4 linked regions of the Arabidopsis thaliana genome follow. The protein of the gene in region 3 interacts with the protein of the main gene of each other region in a pairwise test. Each region holds a gene or a part of one and is shown on either strand. Other genes may lie near its edges.

What was found.
Region 1: the proteins of AT2G37120 (region 3) and BZO2H3 interact in a two-hybrid assay, tested with the Arabidopsis thaliana proteins (one large-scale study listed by BioGRID).
Region 2: the proteins of AT2G37120 (region 3) and LBD27 interact in a two-hybrid assay, tested with the Arabidopsis thaliana proteins (one large-scale study listed by BioGRID).
Region 4: the proteins of AT2G37120 (region 3) and HSFA3 interact in a two-hybrid assay, tested with the Arabidopsis thaliana proteins (one large-scale study listed by BioGRID).

The regions. Positions count from the first base shown.
Region 1 is NC_003076.8:10,795,933-10,800,298, forward strand, and holds BZO2H3 (bZIP transcription factor family protein), read right to left. Parts: upstream 2,374-4,366; 5' UTR 2,216-2,373; coding exon 1,949-2,215; intron 1,710-1,948; coding exon 1,619-1,709; intron 1,516-1,618; coding exon 1,404-1,515; intron 1,340-1,403; coding exon 1,264-1,339; coding exon of another isoform or gene 1,182-1,263; coding exon 1,056-1,181; coding exon of another isoform or gene 989-1,055; coding exon 716-988; 3' UTR 525-715; downstream 1-524. UniProt on the Arabidopsis thaliana protein: Transcription factor involved in controlling responses to starvation. BZIP2-BZIP63-KIN10 complex binds to the ETFQO promoter to up-regulate its transcription.
Region 2 is NC_003074.8:17,659,165-17,663,376, reverse strand, and holds LBD27 (LOB domain-containing protein 27), read left to right. Parts: upstream 1-2,022; 5' UTR 2,023-2,369; coding exon 2,370-3,356; 3' UTR 3,357-3,364; intron 3,365-3,458; 3' UTR 3,459-3,697; downstream 3,698-4,212.
Region 3 is NC_003071.7:15,593,464-15,596,529, reverse strand, and holds AT2G37120 (S1FA-like DNA-binding protein), read left to right. Parts: upstream 1-1,568; 5' UTR 1,569-1,714; coding exon 1,715-1,741; intron 1,742-2,076; coding exon 2,077-2,280; 3' UTR 2,281-2,566; downstream 2,567-3,066. Other genes in the region: AT2G37125 (GRF zinc finger protein), read left to right, coding at 17-235; AT2G37110 (PLAC8 family protein), read right to left, coding at 2,804-3,040. UniProt on the Arabidopsis thaliana protein: DNA-binding protein that specifically recognizes a negative element (S1F) within the RPS1 promoter.
Region 4 is NC_003076.8:970,590-976,188, forward strand, and holds HSFA3 (heat shock transcription factor A3), read right to left. Parts: upstream 3,738-5,599; 5' UTR 3,095-3,737; coding exon 2,753-3,094; intron 2,221-2,752; coding exon 1,324-2,220; 3' UTR 1,039-1,323; coding exon of another isoform or gene 806-1,038; intron 585-805; 3' UTR 553-584; downstream 1-552. Other genes in the region: AT5G03710 (replication factor C large subunit), read left to right, coding at 518-530, 806-1,038; CTR1 (Protein kinase superfamily protein), read right to left, coding at 4,369-4,465, 4,543-4,637, 4,752-4,883, 4,987-5,055, 5,289-5,387, 5,482-5,566. UniProt on the Arabidopsis thaliana protein: Transcriptional activator that specifically binds DNA sequence 5'-AGAAnnTTCT-3' known as heat shock promoter elements (HSE). Involved in heat stress response. Activated by DREB2A under heat stress.

The sequences.
Region 1 (4,366 bases), on a different chromosome or scaffold from region 3:
TCATGGGGTTTTGGATCCACAAATTTCACCTATACTTCTCTTATAATTTGCCCTTTTGGGTTAGTAATCAAAGAAATTGTCGACAAAAAAAAATACGTCAAAAGTACTCCTAAATTTTATATAATATACAAAATTTCTAAATATTTCATGAATATTAATTCTACAAAAGAGCATATTAATTCTTATTAGAGATGTTTTATCCGATCTGAACCAAATCAAAATAATCGATACGAAAAAACGAACATAATTGAATATCTTAAATCATAATTTAAAGGTTACTTTGAAAAAAAATATAAATTAATAAGGTTTAATTATAGTTATTTTATTTATATATATATTTATAATCTAATTCGGATTTAAACAAAAATTATTGATAGAAACCCGATTCTAAGAGCCGAAATTTGGGATTAAACTCGTAATTTCTAGTTTCAATAACCAAAATTATACGTTTGCATCGTTGCCTCATCACCATTTCAATAGTTTCACTAGGTGAAATTGATAAAACTTGTAATTCTTAACAGAAATTAGAAAAACTTTGTAAATTTAACAAAAGACATGTACAATGAAAATTAGAAGTTCAACACAAACAATCAACGAAGAAGACAAAAAAAAATTTAAATAATCTGAAAAAACAATTCTTTACAAAAACATACAACATTTTGTCTTAACATATGTCTTAAGATTAATGTTACAAATCAAGATTCTTCTTTAACAGCTACTGATCCCCAACGCTTCGAATACGTTTCTGCAGATGTTCCAAGCTCTCAACTCTACGCATCGAAGCTGTTCTGTTCATCTTGCACCCTATCAAGGCCTTGCCTTTGTTCCCCGAGCTAATGATCTCTGGTGTAGTCACTTGGCTGCTTGTAGTGTCTGGAGAATTTGATGTCTCTGAAGGAAGAGAGACAGTTGAAACAATCTGAGGCATATTGTGGAACATTGGGTTAAAGCCAGTGAGTCTCTTCACTGTCTCTTCAGCCATTTTCACCTGCCAAAAACAAACATGCTTCAATAGCGAGTTTTGGTAGACAGAGAGATAAAAGAAAGTATTTTACCTTTGCTCGTAGTGTCTCAATATTGGCTTTTAAAACTCTGTTTTCTACAGATGCATCATTGAATGTTTGAGTTACATCAGTGAGACCCTTCATGAGTTTTGAATTCTCTACACGAAGCTGTGAAACCTACACGAAATGGAGATTGTCGCACAAGTGAGCTAAACAAAGTTAAAGGAGAAAGAATAAGAACGCTGCGAGAGTAACATACTTGTGTCTCTAGCTCACTCAAGTGTGCTTGCTTTCTTCTTCTGGACCGTCTAGCTGATTCTCTATTAGAGAGCATCCTATAACAAACAAATTCACGTTCATGTTCATGTTCAAGTCCAAGAAAGGATGTAAATTTGTTACCTTTTAACGCGTTTAACATTAGTAGGGTTCATATTAGTTTCACCATCAGCTTCTTCTTCATCACCAGAGAGCTCAGATCCACTTGTTATAGCACTGCTCATCATTGGTGTAGCTGCATACAGATTGGTCCATTAGCATTTACAAGAAATCTTGAAAACAAACACAACAACTATCAATAACATCTTAAAAGGCTTATCATAGATGTATTGTAAAACCTTTGGAAGAAGCAAGAGAGGCTTGTTCTGATTCATTGGCTCCACCATTGTCAGATCTACCAGAAGTATCCTGAGGTTTGATGAAAGTTCCCTATCAAATTTTCAATATTAACACCACAAAATCAATTAACTAATGCAAATTATAATCTCAAGGAAGATAATGGCAAATCATATACAAAAGGTCCAATAAGATCTTAACACTCAAACATAACAAAACAAGATTAGTTTCTTAGCTTCAAGTGAACTCATCAAACTAACAGATAAAAAGGTTTTGTTTTTCTTTTTCTATGAAAAAAAAAAAAACTCAAACTTGAGCAGAGTAGTGAGTACCCTTTTCATGGCGACAGCAGCACAAGCAAGATTAAGTTTACTCTTGAGAAATGCTCTGTATTCCTCTGAATCTACAGGAACATTAGGAGGAGAGGAGACGGAAACACCACACGCCGTCGTAGATTCTCCGTCGTCTGCAGCGGCGGAGGATTCTTGTATGAAACGATTGAATGCCCATTCGGAAGCACTGCGATTCAACGACGTCATTCCATTAACCGACCAGTGATGGTTACCGGAGATTTCTTCGTCGGAGAAAACTTTTTCCATCTTTTCTCTTTTGTAATTTGTTTGTTTCTTTAGTTTTATTTATTTTTTTTTGGTTTCAAATTGTCAAAACAGTTTCTTCTTATCCGATTGGGCAGTCTTGCATTTTAATAATATGTTCTTTTCAAGTTTTGTTGTTTTGTTAGATATTTAATTGTCTGATTATTACCCTAATGGCCCCGACAAGAGTCGTGTATTTCTATTTACAGCAAAAACTTTTGATTTATTCTGTTAGGTCACTGTTTTCTTGTAGTATCTTAAAAAACGACAGGTCATAATACAAAAAATTATAACGATTTTTATTAACAACAGAACTAATAATAAATAAAAGGAAAAAAGTATCTGGAAATATGGTTTTAGTTATACTAATTTTTCTACTTTTTAGAACAATTTTTAGTTTATAAGATATATAGAATGGAAAAAATAATTAAAGTGTCAAACTTTTTTTTTTCTTTCTTAAAACATGTTTTTAAAAAAGGTGAGATTCGCCTACAGTTACAACGAATAATAATATTAAGATACACAAATTAAAATAGAAAAAACTGATCAGAGTCAAAAAAGAAAATTGTATCCTAGTGGACAATGGAAAACGGAGAATCTACTGCTTAACCCACCTTATCTCAATATCTTTCTTCGATCTCACAATGGCCGACACAATGACCGAGCTACGAGAAAAAATTGTTACTATCACCAACGTCCTCTACCATAAAGGGATTTTTCGAGGTAAGGGATTTTACTCACTCTTGAGCACTCAAGATAAATTCCAAGATTAGCGGTAAAAATCAAAAATAATCGAAAATTTTAAATTTAAAAACGATTCTTTAAGAAAGAAAAAACCGTTAGAAACGATGTAATGATTGTAATTTTTCAGACCATTTTATAAAAAAAATAAATAATATTATTAAGAAAACAAAAATTATTAAGATTATCAGAAATGCAGTCTCCTTCACAAACTTCATTGCCTAATTGTTTACTCAAATGTGTAATATATATCGATCTTATATTCCACGTTTGAAAGGGGACGATTAGGGGTTCATATTTATAAACAACAAATGTTGGTGTATAATTGATAAAAACAGAAGAATATGAGGAGCTTAAAGTAATATTTAAAATATACATGTAATAATATTTGTTTATGCCTTATTGGATTTAATAATATTTTTTTCAACGCTTTTTGGGGCAAATCCAAGTCAGACTGACGTGGCAAGGGGTATTTTAGTCAATTTAAATTTTGATCTGCATCACAAGAATATATAAATAATAAATATTATAGTTGTCGTCGGTTTTGTAACGTAACTTCATTTCATGGGTCCATTTAATATTCCCATTTGCATTTTACAAAGGAAAGGAGAGATCCGAGAGGAACATAATATATAGTTTTGTAAGTGAAGTTAGATTAGAGAAATGTACTAAACTTCTGATTTTTGGATAAGAATCTATCCAAATTCAAGTTGCATATTTTGGTGGGTCCTTTATTTTTGCATATATTAGTACACTTGTGCAAAACCTTTTATCAAGAGAATATCTAGTGAGAGAGAAACATAACACTTGCAAACCAAGTGGATGTTGGTGGTTTGACTTTGAGAATATCAGTAGTTCAACTCTATTTGAAAGAATGATTTACGTTTTATCAAAGTACGTCTCTATTACACCATTAGTAGAATTTTGTAGACTTTTCTATGTTAAAGTGGTTTAGAAAAATCTCAAACTGTATAATTTCGTGTGACATTTTGTCTTATTTTAGGAAGAATTATTATGTAGGTTAGGTTATGAATCAATTTCTAAATCATTCTTATTTTGACCTGGTGTCATGTTTAAGGTTTATTAAAAATCCGATGAATGGACTATTCAACGGCTACACTCAGAGTTGGTCCTAAAACCCAAAATATTTTTTGCCTATAAATATTTAAAATATAGCAAAATGATGCATTGGAGACTTAAACCTATAACATGAGAAACAAAAAAACCCGGAAAAATCACTGTCCTACAAGAAATTTATAGTTTTGGTGCTTTCAAAATGAAATATATATTTTGAGGCTTAAAACCCTTAATTGTTCAGCTTTAGATTAGGACAGACAGTGGATACATTTACTTTGAAAAAGTTTGTCGATGGTAAAACTGGAACACCCCTGATTATCAGATTTTTTTTTTTGT
Region 2 (4,212 bases), on a different chromosome or scaffold from region 3:
AACTTTCGAGAAAATAAATGAAAATTCATTACAACCTTTTTTTCTTCGGTCGTTTTGTATAAGATCATATCAATTTTGATAAATATATTTATATGATCTTATGGGACTCGACTTCTCAACAATGTGTGTTTATGTCTGAAGCTTAAAAACTAGTTCTTAATTAATTTGTTACACGCTTGGTTTTGTTGTTGTTCAATTTCCACGTTTAGGGAGTGTTATTGGTTTGTGATTTTGAAAGAATTTTAGGCCATGATTGGTTGGGCTGTAAAAAGTTTTTAAAGCCACTAAAAAAGTTACAACCCCAAAATTAAACAATCATTCTTTAGCTTTTCTATTTTTTCTCAGAGCCCAAATAATATTTTTTAATTATTTTGTCTGTAAGTTCATGTTTTTCTAAAGCACAATTTTATGGTCTTTAGAAGGTCTATACCTTCTTTCTCTTTTTTTCACTTTTTTCTCATTTTTTTAAAAAACATTACTATAGTTTTCATATATATATATATATATTAAATTTAGTTTTATGGATATAAATAATAGGTAAATATCTACTTTATGACATATATATAACTTACATTGTTTATATATATATATTAAATTGATATTTGTGAATTCTATTATATAACACATAAGTACAATTTACCAATAATATTTTTTTGTTTAAATATACAGACAACCATGATCTTATTTCTACAACCAATTTCTTCAAGTAATAATATTAAATTAATAAAATCTACAGCCTAATTTCTACAGCAATAAAATCTATGGCTACAGTCATCACACATACAACAAAAATTCTACAGCAAAAATCTACAGTTACAGATGAACCAATCACACACTTAATGACTTTAAAAATATATTGAAAGTAGATAAATTAAAGATTTTCAATGATTACTAGAGAGTTTTGCATAATTTCTATGATTAGTTTTTCCAAAATCTTTTTAGGGGTTGTTATTGTTTGTGATTTATATGGATTTTTAGTGACTTGAAATGTCATGAAATTTTTTTTGTTATTCAATTAAAATTTTATAAGACTCTGTTAAAGTTTGGTGTTGTTAGATTTTGATTTGTAAAAAGTAACTTAAAGTCTTTGTAAATCTGGAGTTATTTGATTCATATTTTAATACAGTCATTACAAATTTTGTGTTATTCAACTTAAACAGTTTTCATGATTGTTAATGATTTAAAATATTGTGTTATTGGATTATGATTTTATACTCTTTTCTTCACAAATTAAAATCATGAAAAGTATCACAAAAAGAGAGAGATTGTGAATCATGACTTTGGATATAAACAAAAGCCAATGATACGAACAGATGCAGAAATCTTATTAACAGTGATGACAATATATATATTCTAATGGCTCAAGTTCCACATGTGCTCCGGTAATCTATGTGAAAATCAACACACAAACAACTTTTAGAACAAAGCAGTTTAATCTAACACATGAAAAGTAAATATCCAACAAAATATTTGAAAATAAAACTTCAAGTTCTTCATGGATGGTTCCCTGTTCATGTAACTTTACTTACGAATACCATAGTTTTTGTGTTTATGCGTGTGATTTTCACTTTAGTGGAGATACCTTCTATAGAAGATGGAAGAATAGTATACAATATTTTGGTGATATGTTATAATTTTGGAGAAATCACAAATCAAAGTTTATAATTATATTCAGGGAGATTTTACAAGATTATAAAAAGAGTTTTAATGACTTTAAAAATATATTGAAAGTAGATAAATTAAAGATTTTAAATGATTACTAGAGAGTTTTGTATAATTTCTATGATTAGTTTTTCCAAAATTTTGTAAAGTCTTCTTATCCAGGGAGATTTTACAAGATTTTCAATAATCTTGTAATTTTCAATAAAATCAATTCAATATAACTTTAGATGTTTAGTAGTTCAATTAAGATAAGACTGAACATAATAATTATTTTGTTACTCAATCCAATTTAAAACCTAAATAACTTGGTCCCAAAATTGTTTATATCAAGATGATCAAGTACAAAATTCAAAAAAACTTGATCAAGTCCAAAACTCAAAAAATAAACAAGTAAGATATATTTACTGTTATATCAAGTAAAAACAAAGCAACTATTATTAGTAAACAAAAACAAACTCAAAAACAAGAATCTCCCCTGAAGATACTCAAACAACGTTTTTTTTAATCAATCTTATAATCTGTATTTTACTTAGTCTTCTTTACTAGAGAAATATCCGGCTTATATACCAGACTACTTCTCCTTCTTCCCTTCTCTCATTTCCCAAAAACCATTAACACACAGACACACTAACGCACACATCTCTCATTTTCAAAATCCTCATTTTCATTTCTCAATTCTCCAGAGTCTCTTGTTCTGTTCCCATCGAATGAGCAATACAAAACACATCCACAAAGGGTTACAGGAGAGGCTTTTAGATCTTCTCTTGATCGCTCTTATAGTTTACATGACTCTTAAAGGCGGCACGAGTGGGGCTTGTGCCGCGTGCAAGTACCAACGTAGACGCTGCGCCGCGGACTGCCCCCTCGCGCCTTACTTCCCAGCCGAACAACCGAAACTTTTCCAAAACGTTCACAGGCTATTCGGCGTAAGAAGTATCGTCAAGATCCTCGAAAAACTAGACGAAACTCAGAAACCAGAAGCAATGAAATCAATCATCTTCCAGTCTTATGTCCGTGACCGTTCTCCTGTCCACGGTTGCCTCGGCGTCACGCAACAACTTCAATACATGATCTGGTTTGCTGAAGAAGAACTCAAAGCTGTCAATTCTCAATTACAACTATATCGCTCTCAACCACAAAACGGTCAAAATCAAAACCAAAACCATAATCATAATCAGATGATTCATGAGCTTGGTAGTGATCATAATAAGCAGCAAGAAGATGTTACATCGCAGCAGCTTGACTTGGGTATGGGACTTAACGTTAACAATAATCAGAGCAATGTCGTTACACCATTCTTTAGTTCATTATTACCAGTTTCCGAAACACAACAGCCACAAATGTCTTACACTTATAGCTGCAGTGAGGTTAACAACAATGGCTATAGTCCTCCTGCTTATAATACAGATTCGGGCAAGGAGATTCTGACCAACAATAACAATGTTTGGGGTGATCAGAATCGATTTCTGTATAACAACAACAATGGAGGAGGATACAGCAACCAAAACGAGAGCTGTCATGAGATGAAGAGTAACGGTGTAATGGCAATACAATCACAGCTCGTAAATCTGCAAATGGTATCAAATCATCAGCGAGTGGAAGAAGAAGAAGCTGATCATGAATACGATGAACTCCATCAGTTTCTTGATATCATTGACGATAGGCAATCATTTGGGGATTCTAAAGAAGCGTAGGCCTCAAGGTAGGGGTTTTTTCCTTTGTAAAACTATGAAATATGTATTTTCTTCTTCTTCTGTAGATATGGTGATTGAATTGGAGTATATTGGTGGTTGTAGCTCTGGTGGATCGTTGAAGGAACAGATTGATGAAATTGGAGAGAATGAATTGAGAAGTGCAGCTACTTGTTTCAGTCTAACCAGTGTGAATAATTGAATTGATTTCTCAATTCGTGATCCCTAATTATGCTCTCGAAATTTTGTTATACTTTTGTTGACATTTTATTATTATCTTTTAGTCAGAGACTTAAAGGTTATGAATTCAGAGTTTCTCTAATTTTAATAATATATCTTTTTGGAGTCTCTAATGAACTTGAATATTAGTGCAACGTAACTCTATTTGCTTTATTTTTCTTGGGTTTTTAACTTGTTATTCAAGGGACGCTTCTCTGCTAAAATCTAACATGGCTGAGTGAAGAAGAGAGACACAAGACAAATGTTAATGATGCATTAGCTCCCGAGGATACTCACATTACTCAGGTAATTATACTAGACTTCCACTTATTTATGAAACTCAAAAATGTAATGTTGATCTTGTGTTGAACCTTGAGGAAATAATCAAGAAACTGTGTGTGTTAGTAGGTTAGATGTTGGATCCCGAACTAATACCTAAAGTATCATGCTCCCTAGAAGCTGAAGCCATGTTCATAGGACTACACTAAGTTTTGGAAATATAGGCTACAAGCATGTGATTGTATTCCTCGAATCTGATTCCAAAGAGATGGTTAGAGCAGCCCTACGAATGGCTTCAGCCTTCAGCTTAAAATTGTGTCACATTCAGTTGGTTGTACAAGAACTCTAGTAATCATGGCAG
Region 3 (3,066 bases):
TTTGATTGTGTAACAGAGTCATTTGTTTAAATGGGTTGAGGATGCTGTATACGAAGAGGTTGAAGATGTTTTACCAAAATTTGTGATCATTGCAAATGAGCTTAACAAAGCCAAATCCGAGGCAAATGAGCTAATTGTGATGATACATGAACTAAAAGAAGAAGCAATGTTGAGTAAACAAGAAATCTGCAAGTGGAAAGTGTGTTTGAAAATATGTTTTTTTGGCTTTGTTTGATCAGCATTTTCATTCTTTACATGATGCTTGGTAAGGCAAAAAAAAATGAATTTGTTGTTGCTTAATAGTGTAGGTCTATCTATCTTGTTGTCTTCGGCAAGCTTGTAATGACAATGTAGTATTTGTGACTTTTATGACTTTGTAATGTTGGCTTTGTTGCTGTCTTAATAAAACTTGTGAGTGTTTGGTCTTTATTTTTCTTGGGTGAATGTGAGTGTTTGGTCTTGATATAAGGTGTGAGTGTTTGGTCGGTGTGAGTGTTTGGTCTTGATATGAGAATCGGAGTAAAGAGATGGAATAATTTCACTCAAACAAAAACTTGTCTTAAAACTATGAGTGATTAAAAGTAGTTAACCAACATGTCTTAAAACTTGCCGAACCAAAAATCAAACAACAAAAGAGACAACAAAAGAGACATCTCAAGTTATGAAACAATCCAAATACCAACAACCAAAGACCAATCGATGTTCTCATGTCAAGTTTGAACACTCAAACCATGATCTCCATCCTTCTACTCCTTTTCGATTTTTTCCTTCTATTGTCACCATCTAACCTGTTACCATTCTGTTTCGATTTTTTTCTTCTCCTATTGTCAACGACAGAATGAGACGGCCTAGTAGAAGGCTCGTGAACAGCAGGAGCCTCGACAGAAGCACGTCATAGCTCAGCAACAGACGGAGGCTCGATAGCAACAGACGGAGGCTCTATGGAAGCAGACGGAGGCTCGATAGAAGCAGACGGAGGCTCGACAACAACATGAGGCGGCTCAACAACAGGAGGAGGCGGGTCGACATCAGCAGGCAGCTTCTTTCTCATCATTACAGTTTCGAATTTCTCTTCCTCGATCGACAAAAGAGAATTGAGAATTTTTGTTTTTTAGGGCTCGTGATTTTTCAAATCGAATTGGGGAAGTTCAGTCTTTTTGATAAAACGACGTCGTTTACTAAAACCGAAACTGTGTCGTTTGCAAATTATGTCTCTGTTAACGTCTAATTAACCCTGTCAATTAAGTCTGTTAACCCAGATAACGACAAGACTAAAATGGCGCGGTCAACACAAGTTTAAGATTTATTAGAAAAGTCAACAAAAGTTCGATGTTTTTTTCGTTTCAAATAAAGTACGGGATTTAAATCAACGTTTTAGCAAAGTTCAGGATTTTAATGACATTTTTCCCTTTGTTAATTCAATCATCATGTGATATGTGAAGATAATCTGCTGTATGTAGTAAATAAATTTTGAAGTCATCTGATTGTAATAATGTAATAATATATAGAAGTAAATGTTACTTATTGGGCTTCTCTATTTTACTAAGATGCAAATGAATTAATATTTTATAATTTATTTATTTTGTCCTAAGTATACATGTCTTTTTTGTCTTTTGTCTGAATCTTTCTCGTCGGAAACACAGATCTCAGTTCCTTACAGAAGAATCTCCGACTCGTTTCTTTGCCGGCATTCTCAGATTTCCGGATACTAGCCATGAGCAGTGATGGTTCCGCCGGAAAGGTACGTCTCCGTATTTGTAATTTCCGATGAAATCGAACTGTGTTTACCAATCACGCTCCTCTCTGATCCATAATTGGTTTTTAAGTTCCAAATCTCTGTTTATTATTGTTAGATCTGTTATGAGCTGAATAGAAGAAGATCATCAATTTAATCTGTTGCTTGTTGTGTTGTCTTGATCTTGATGATCCTCTCGCATGCATTGTTTATTTTGAACATGATCTGGTTATTTACAGGGAATTTCAATTGTATTCATGGATTAGTTTCGTTAGGTTTACATGATGTCAAATATCTCACTTTGGTATGGATTGTTGCATACATTGTTTGTGAATTTACAGGCGGTTGTTGAAGCCAAAGGATTGAACCCTGGATTGATAGTGCTGCTTGTTATTGGAGGTCTGCTTGTGACATTTCTCATAGCCAATTACGTTATGTACATGTATGCTCAGAAGAATCTACCTCCAAGGAAGAAGAAGCCTCTTTCCAAAAAGAAGCTCAAGCGTGAGAAGCTGAAGCAGGGAGTCCCTGTGCCCGGCGAATAGATTCCAGCTTCTTCAACAGTCTGTGTTTTTAACCTGTAATCACAATGTCATTGAGACTTTTGTATGGGAGAGTAGCAAACGTCCCTTGTTCTGTTTTGGTTAGACTACAAAAATTGAATCTCATCAACTTCTGTTTTCCCTTCACATATTTGATTGCAGTTGTAGAGTCTATCATGTTCACTTTACTTTATTTGTCCATATATCGTTGCCTTTTGTCGGATCCAAAGGGTTTCCCCAAAACTCTTACGTCAATGTTAGGCTTTGCGAATTGTGAAACAAATGAACATTTCAGACAATGTCAAAAGAAATGCGTAAGCAATAAAGATATACATATGTTTGTTTTTCGATAGCAAAAGAAAGACACACGACAAATTACATCCAGAGAAGGCCTTATTCAAAAAGTAAGCAAAAGACAAGGATCATGATTCAAGTTCCACAGAAACACTTGTTTTCACAACGTGTGTAAGCTTCAGTCGACTCAATATTACAAGTGCTCTTTAGACCACTCGACTCTATGTAAGCTTCACTTACGACCCATGGTTTGTTCTATGGGTGGCATCACAACAACGGTGGACTGAGCATTGAAACCTGGGTGAAGAACCTTCCTGCGGAGCTCACGCCCTTCTTGGCAAAGGGCACATGTATGGCAAAGGACATGTGTCACAAAGTCACAAGTCGTCTCCAAGTGTTCCCTTTGCATCTCGTCCTCTATGCAGCCACCGCAGCAACCACAAGACCTGTTCATAGCCTCAAAGCTTCCCTGTTTTTACCCAAAAGAGTTAATCA
Region 4 (5,599 bases), on a different chromosome or scaffold from region 3:
CATCTAACAGACTATTCACTGAATATGTTCATTTGGTCTTAATTTTCTGATTTCGAATATTTTTGCAGTCATCATATATTTTATATCAAAATGGGCATTTAAAGCCCACTGTTAATTTTTAATTTCATTATAATGGCCTGCTAGATTCACTTGCAACAATCTATATTCGATGGGCCGAAACTAAATAAGCCCAAGTAAGAAAAAATTAATGTTGACAGTGGGATTTGAACCCACGCCCTTTCGGACCAGAACCTTAATCTGGCGCCTTAGACCAACTCGGCCATATCAACTTTTTGATAGTAAAATTTCAAAGTATGAATATAACCGATTTGCATAGATTTAAATGACAGGGACATGCCCTAAAATCCCTTGGTCCGATTAATAGCCTTCACTTCACGGCAAGTTCACGCCCTAAAAAGTAAAAACTGCGCTCGAGAGACGAAACCGCTATCATCTTCTTCGAGAACTTTCTTCTTTGACGCATCGTCTCCTTCAGGTCACAGTACCTCTCAAGACAATGGAGTTCTGGGGTAAAAATCTCCTATCTTCCTTCTTCTTCTTCTTCGTTCTCTGCGCTTCGTTTCCTGCATTTAGGTTTTTCTTTTTTTAAAAAAAATCTTTTGGTTTCATCATTTTTCTTCGTTTCCTACCGTTTCTTCTATGTGTAATCGTCAGGTTAGCTAAACGTGAGACGAGATTACATGAATACTGGCTATTGAATTTGTAATTAGTTTATAAATCTGTTATAAACCGGTACAAATTCCTTCAATCAAGACACAAAACATACCCCAACAGACAAGCAAAGGAGAAGAAGAAGAAGAAGAAGAAGAAGAAGAAGAAGAAGAAGAAGAAGAAGAAGAAGAAGAAGAAGAAGAAGAAGAAGAAGAAGAAGAAGAAGAAGAAGAAGAAGAAGAAGAAGAAGAAGAAGAAGAAGAAGAAGAAGAAGAAGAAGAAGAAGAAGAAGAAGAAGAAGAAGAAGAAGAAGAAGAAGACAGAGAGAGAGAGGAAAGAGCTTTTGCATTCGTACCTGGGACATAAATGATTAAACCAGACAGCTTCAGAGAGAAAAATCCTTTTAAAGAAACATTGTTCCACTTCAGACCTGCAAAAATTTTAATTACTCAAGCAGATAAAAGCATAATTTTGTGTTATATATCCTTCATAATCAATGTTATTAGACCCTGGATTAAGTGAATAAGAAAGGAACAATCAAACTCATCAATATTATATATATGTATAAAGAGTGCATTCAAAATGAATAATGAATTAATAGTTCACCCGATAAGAAACGGGTTTTTGGTCTAAACTATATATGAAAAGATCCTAAGGATCATTCATTGGCGTATTATCATCATCATCACCAGTTGGCCAGTTGAATCCAGTCTCTGTGATTCCTGCAGCAAATTGTTCCCAGCAGACATCAGGCAAACCATCACTTGTTGTTTCTGCAGCAAAACCAAACTCTGAGACATCATTATAGTCCATTGTGTTTCCCCATGCATCGGTGTTGCTGAAACTCGGTATTGTAGTATCGAAACCCATGCTCCATGTCGTCTCTTCTTGTTTAATAAGTCCTTCAGGAGATGGGAAGGACATCAAGTAATCTGGTTTGCTCATCTCTTCTTCTGATGGATACATCAAGTTCTTGCCTTTTGGATCGCTTGAAGTCATCCCTCCTAAACCCTTGGTGTTCTCAGTCTCTTCGTCATACATTAGCAATCTCTCCCAATCATCAGCTTCATACTTCACCACCTCCCCTCCTGTTGGAGAATCTTGAGGCTGCTGGTGGTGCTTGATGAACTTCTTTCTCGCCTTTTCCAATCCAAGAGCTCCTCCTTTTTCTTTTCCTTTGAAGTTCTTCAGGCGTTCCAAGAAACCCCGGTTCTGAAACAACTTAGCCAAGAAAGAGAGCAATTGCTTCTGACGTTGCTCTGCAGCTTTCAGCCTCTGGTTTACAGTGTCCACATGTCGAGCTGTGCCTCTGCTTTGCTGCTGAAGCTCAACCATTTCCTCCATCAATGCACGCCGCTCTTTCCTCAGCTTCTCAATCTCTCCTCCAACCTCAGTAGGTGACCCTTGGCTTTGGCTAGTGCTACTGCAGCAAGTTTGGTTGGATTGTGGTGATCGACGACGATGAATGTTCTTCAGAAGATGCTTCTTGCCTCTAAGGAAAGCCTCGTTAGCGAATTCCCACTTGTCAGTATCAATCTTTCGAAATCCCTGGAAACATTCCAACCCCAAAAAAACAACTCAAACAAGCTCAAGATAAAGTAAGTAAACACATTTACATCAAGACAAGACCAAATATCTCAAGATATTAGAAAGATTCTACCTCTGAAGTGTGAAGAACATGTGAGTAATGATGTCTTAAACCAGACTGAAGTTAACATTGTGAGAAAATAACAAAACTTCATAAACCAAAATTCTCCATTCAAACGAAACCATAAGTATACAAGATTACAAGCTTATTTCAGATGAGAAGTTATTATAAGATCCAATCGAGGCCAAAATTTCATAGATACAAAACTCAGTGTTACATGATAGAGAGATTAAACAAATCCCAAAAAGAAAAGAAAATTACAGGTAATTTTTTACAAGTTATCAAAAAACGAGTTTCAAGAATCTATACAAAATGGTTTTGGTCATCAAAAAGATTACAGAAACATAAAAACAAAACAAAACTGAAAGAAGAAGAAGAAGAAGAAGAATGAGTCTATCTAGAAAACAGAAACAGAGCAAGAGAGATGATTACATAAGTGTTAAGCTGTCTGACGAAGCTGGAGAAATTGTTGTGTTTGAAATTCCTTGGAAGTATGATTCTGGCAAACTCTAGAGGATCCCAAACTACGAAGCTAGCTCCGGTCAGTCCCCAAGAGATGACCGGGTCAAGAGTCGGGTCATCAACCAAATCAAAAGTCTTGGATAAAAAAGGTGGAATTGGATTCCCTTGTAAGATGTCTAGTGGCATGGGAAGTGGTGACCCAGAGAAACCCATGTCAGTGTCGACGTAGAGAGACCCGGGTATATCGGATCGTCTCGAAACGGGTACTGAAATTGGAGTTGGTTTAGAAACAGCATCTTTTTTTGGGCTCATTTGATATAGTAGAAAATTTACGGGTTTTAGTGAGAGAGAGAGTGAGAAATTGGGGTGTGTGTGATAATTAGGGGGTTTAAGAGAAGAAGGATGAGAGGTTTAATGGTTTATAAAGGTTTAGGGAAGGAAGTAACCGACAAACTGTAGTCAGATAATTGAAAAAAATCTGGGGAATAGAGAGGCGGTGGAAATGGGTGGGTCAGTTCCCGCCACCGTGGATTTATCTTTTTCGTCATCATGTTCCATTGATTCATCAGTTTAGAAGAAATTTGGAAACTTTAGTGACAAATAATTGTACAACCGACATTGAAATTGAAAGTTGTTTCCTTGCAGCTTCACTTAGCTCTCTCTCTCTGTGATTTGGTGAAGGAGAGAAAGTGGTGACGATGGTGGGTCCCACGTCATCTTGAGATTTTTGAAAGGAGGAGTGATTTAGCGCGTTTGCCAGGTCAGCTTTCTAATTTGGAACTGGGCCCTCACAAATCACTGATTCGCTTTTCGTGTTTCCTTTTTCAGAATTTAATATTGTATAATTTTGATTTACGCAATCCTATTGGTTACCGATCCATCAAACGATTAATTCGGAAGACAGGTAAAGTCGTTTTCAAGTGTGGGAACTTACTTAGACGCGAAGGCAAAAATAGTTGACTATGTATCTAGATATTTTCAGTCCCAATGCGTTTTTAACGATTTGGGATTATATTCATCTGTATTAGAGTCTCCGAAAGTTACAGTCTTATTTCATTTCTGTTGGTTTATAGTCCAGACTAATCGCACAGTGAACAAATGTAAATCCAATGAATCATATTGAGTTTGCAAAACCCTTTGACAGCATTTACCAGCTGCTCTTTTTTACCTTCGCTTAGTAACTAATTTAGCGGTATAAATGTACAGCAATGTAATTAAATATAGCTTTCAGTGCATTGCTACAAAGACATAACAACAAAATATTGCTTACCCTTTGGGACTAGATAGATAGATTATATCCCTCACATTGTTTCCATTACTACATTTTTTTTTCCTCCCTGTGACAATAGTCATGTACATTTTAACAATCTGCAACATTAAAAAGGGAACAAAACAGCAGACAAAGATCGCAAAAATAATACATGTATAAAAACCATGGGATTCTGTAGGATATGATTGATAGCTCATGAGGAATGTACCTTTAAAGCTATATCTTAACTAGTGTCTCCCTCCTGGGCAGCAAAAGAATGCTGAGAGTATATGTGCATATCATGATTATAACAACTTTTGAATGGACCGGGGGTATTTTACAAATCCGAGCGGTTGGGCGGAGGAACCGCTGATTTGATCAATGGTCTTAGCAAGTCCATTATAGTTGCAAATGATGGACGCTTCCATGGCTCACTGGTAATGAAACACATACATAAACATGAAGTCTATTCAAGAAGAATTCAAAAAAGAGATAGAAAATCTTAACGTACTTGGTCCAACAACCCTCGATTATGGCTGCAACCTGAGGATTCAGATTACGCGGGATCTCCAGCCGTTTACACTTGAAACCAACCGCAGCTACAACCTATGGAACATTTTTTTGTATGATCATATATAGCATGTTATGAAATGTAGAGTGAGGGACTTCCAAATGCAAAATAATATCATTATTATTTGAGATGTTTAGAGTGGAAAGTACCTGAGCCGGATTTAAGTTACCCCATGGTTGTTGCAATGTAGCAAGCTCCCACAAGATGACCCCGAAGCTGTACACATCTGACTTTTCATTAGACGGCTCATCTCGCAGGACTTCTGGTGCCATCCACTCGGGCTGATATATCAAAGTCAGTAATTATTTAGCTTCCATTGGAAATAGGACCTAGAAGAAAGTTACGTTGTTCAGCGTGTTTTAGTTTCAAACAAACTGAACTTACGGTTCCAGCTGCTGACTTCGAGGAAAGAAACGTGCTGGCCTTCAATCGCGAGAGACCAAAATCACAAACCTGAAATTTCAAGACAAATTGAGGAGTTAGAATAATAATGTTCTGATTGTTTTTAAGACGACAGCTTGAGGCTGCTGTATCTTTTAAGTTTCAGCAGATTAACGCCTTTTTGTAATGTCTCCAAACCAATTTAGAATTAAAAATCATAATTTATATATAAGCTTGTCTCACAAGAGGAATAAAATATCAAAATCAAAACATTGGACACAACAATTTCTAATTTAGATTCAAACCTTGACTGTATATTTTTTGTCAACCAATAAGTTTGGAGATTTTAGATCTCTATGCACAATTGGAGGATTGCGATTGTGAAGATAATTCATTCCCTTAGCCTGTGACAGAGAATTGGAAAGAAAGTTCCATGTGAAGAAACACCAAGATCAGGAAGTAATCACCCATACATGTAACATAAGGAATTAAACATACCACATCATAAGCCATACTCAGGCGACGTCTCTCATCTAATTGCTCCCTTGCTCCACTTTTATGCAAAAGTCTGTATAAACTACCTCTGTTTGAAAGAAATCATGGTATTAGAGTCATT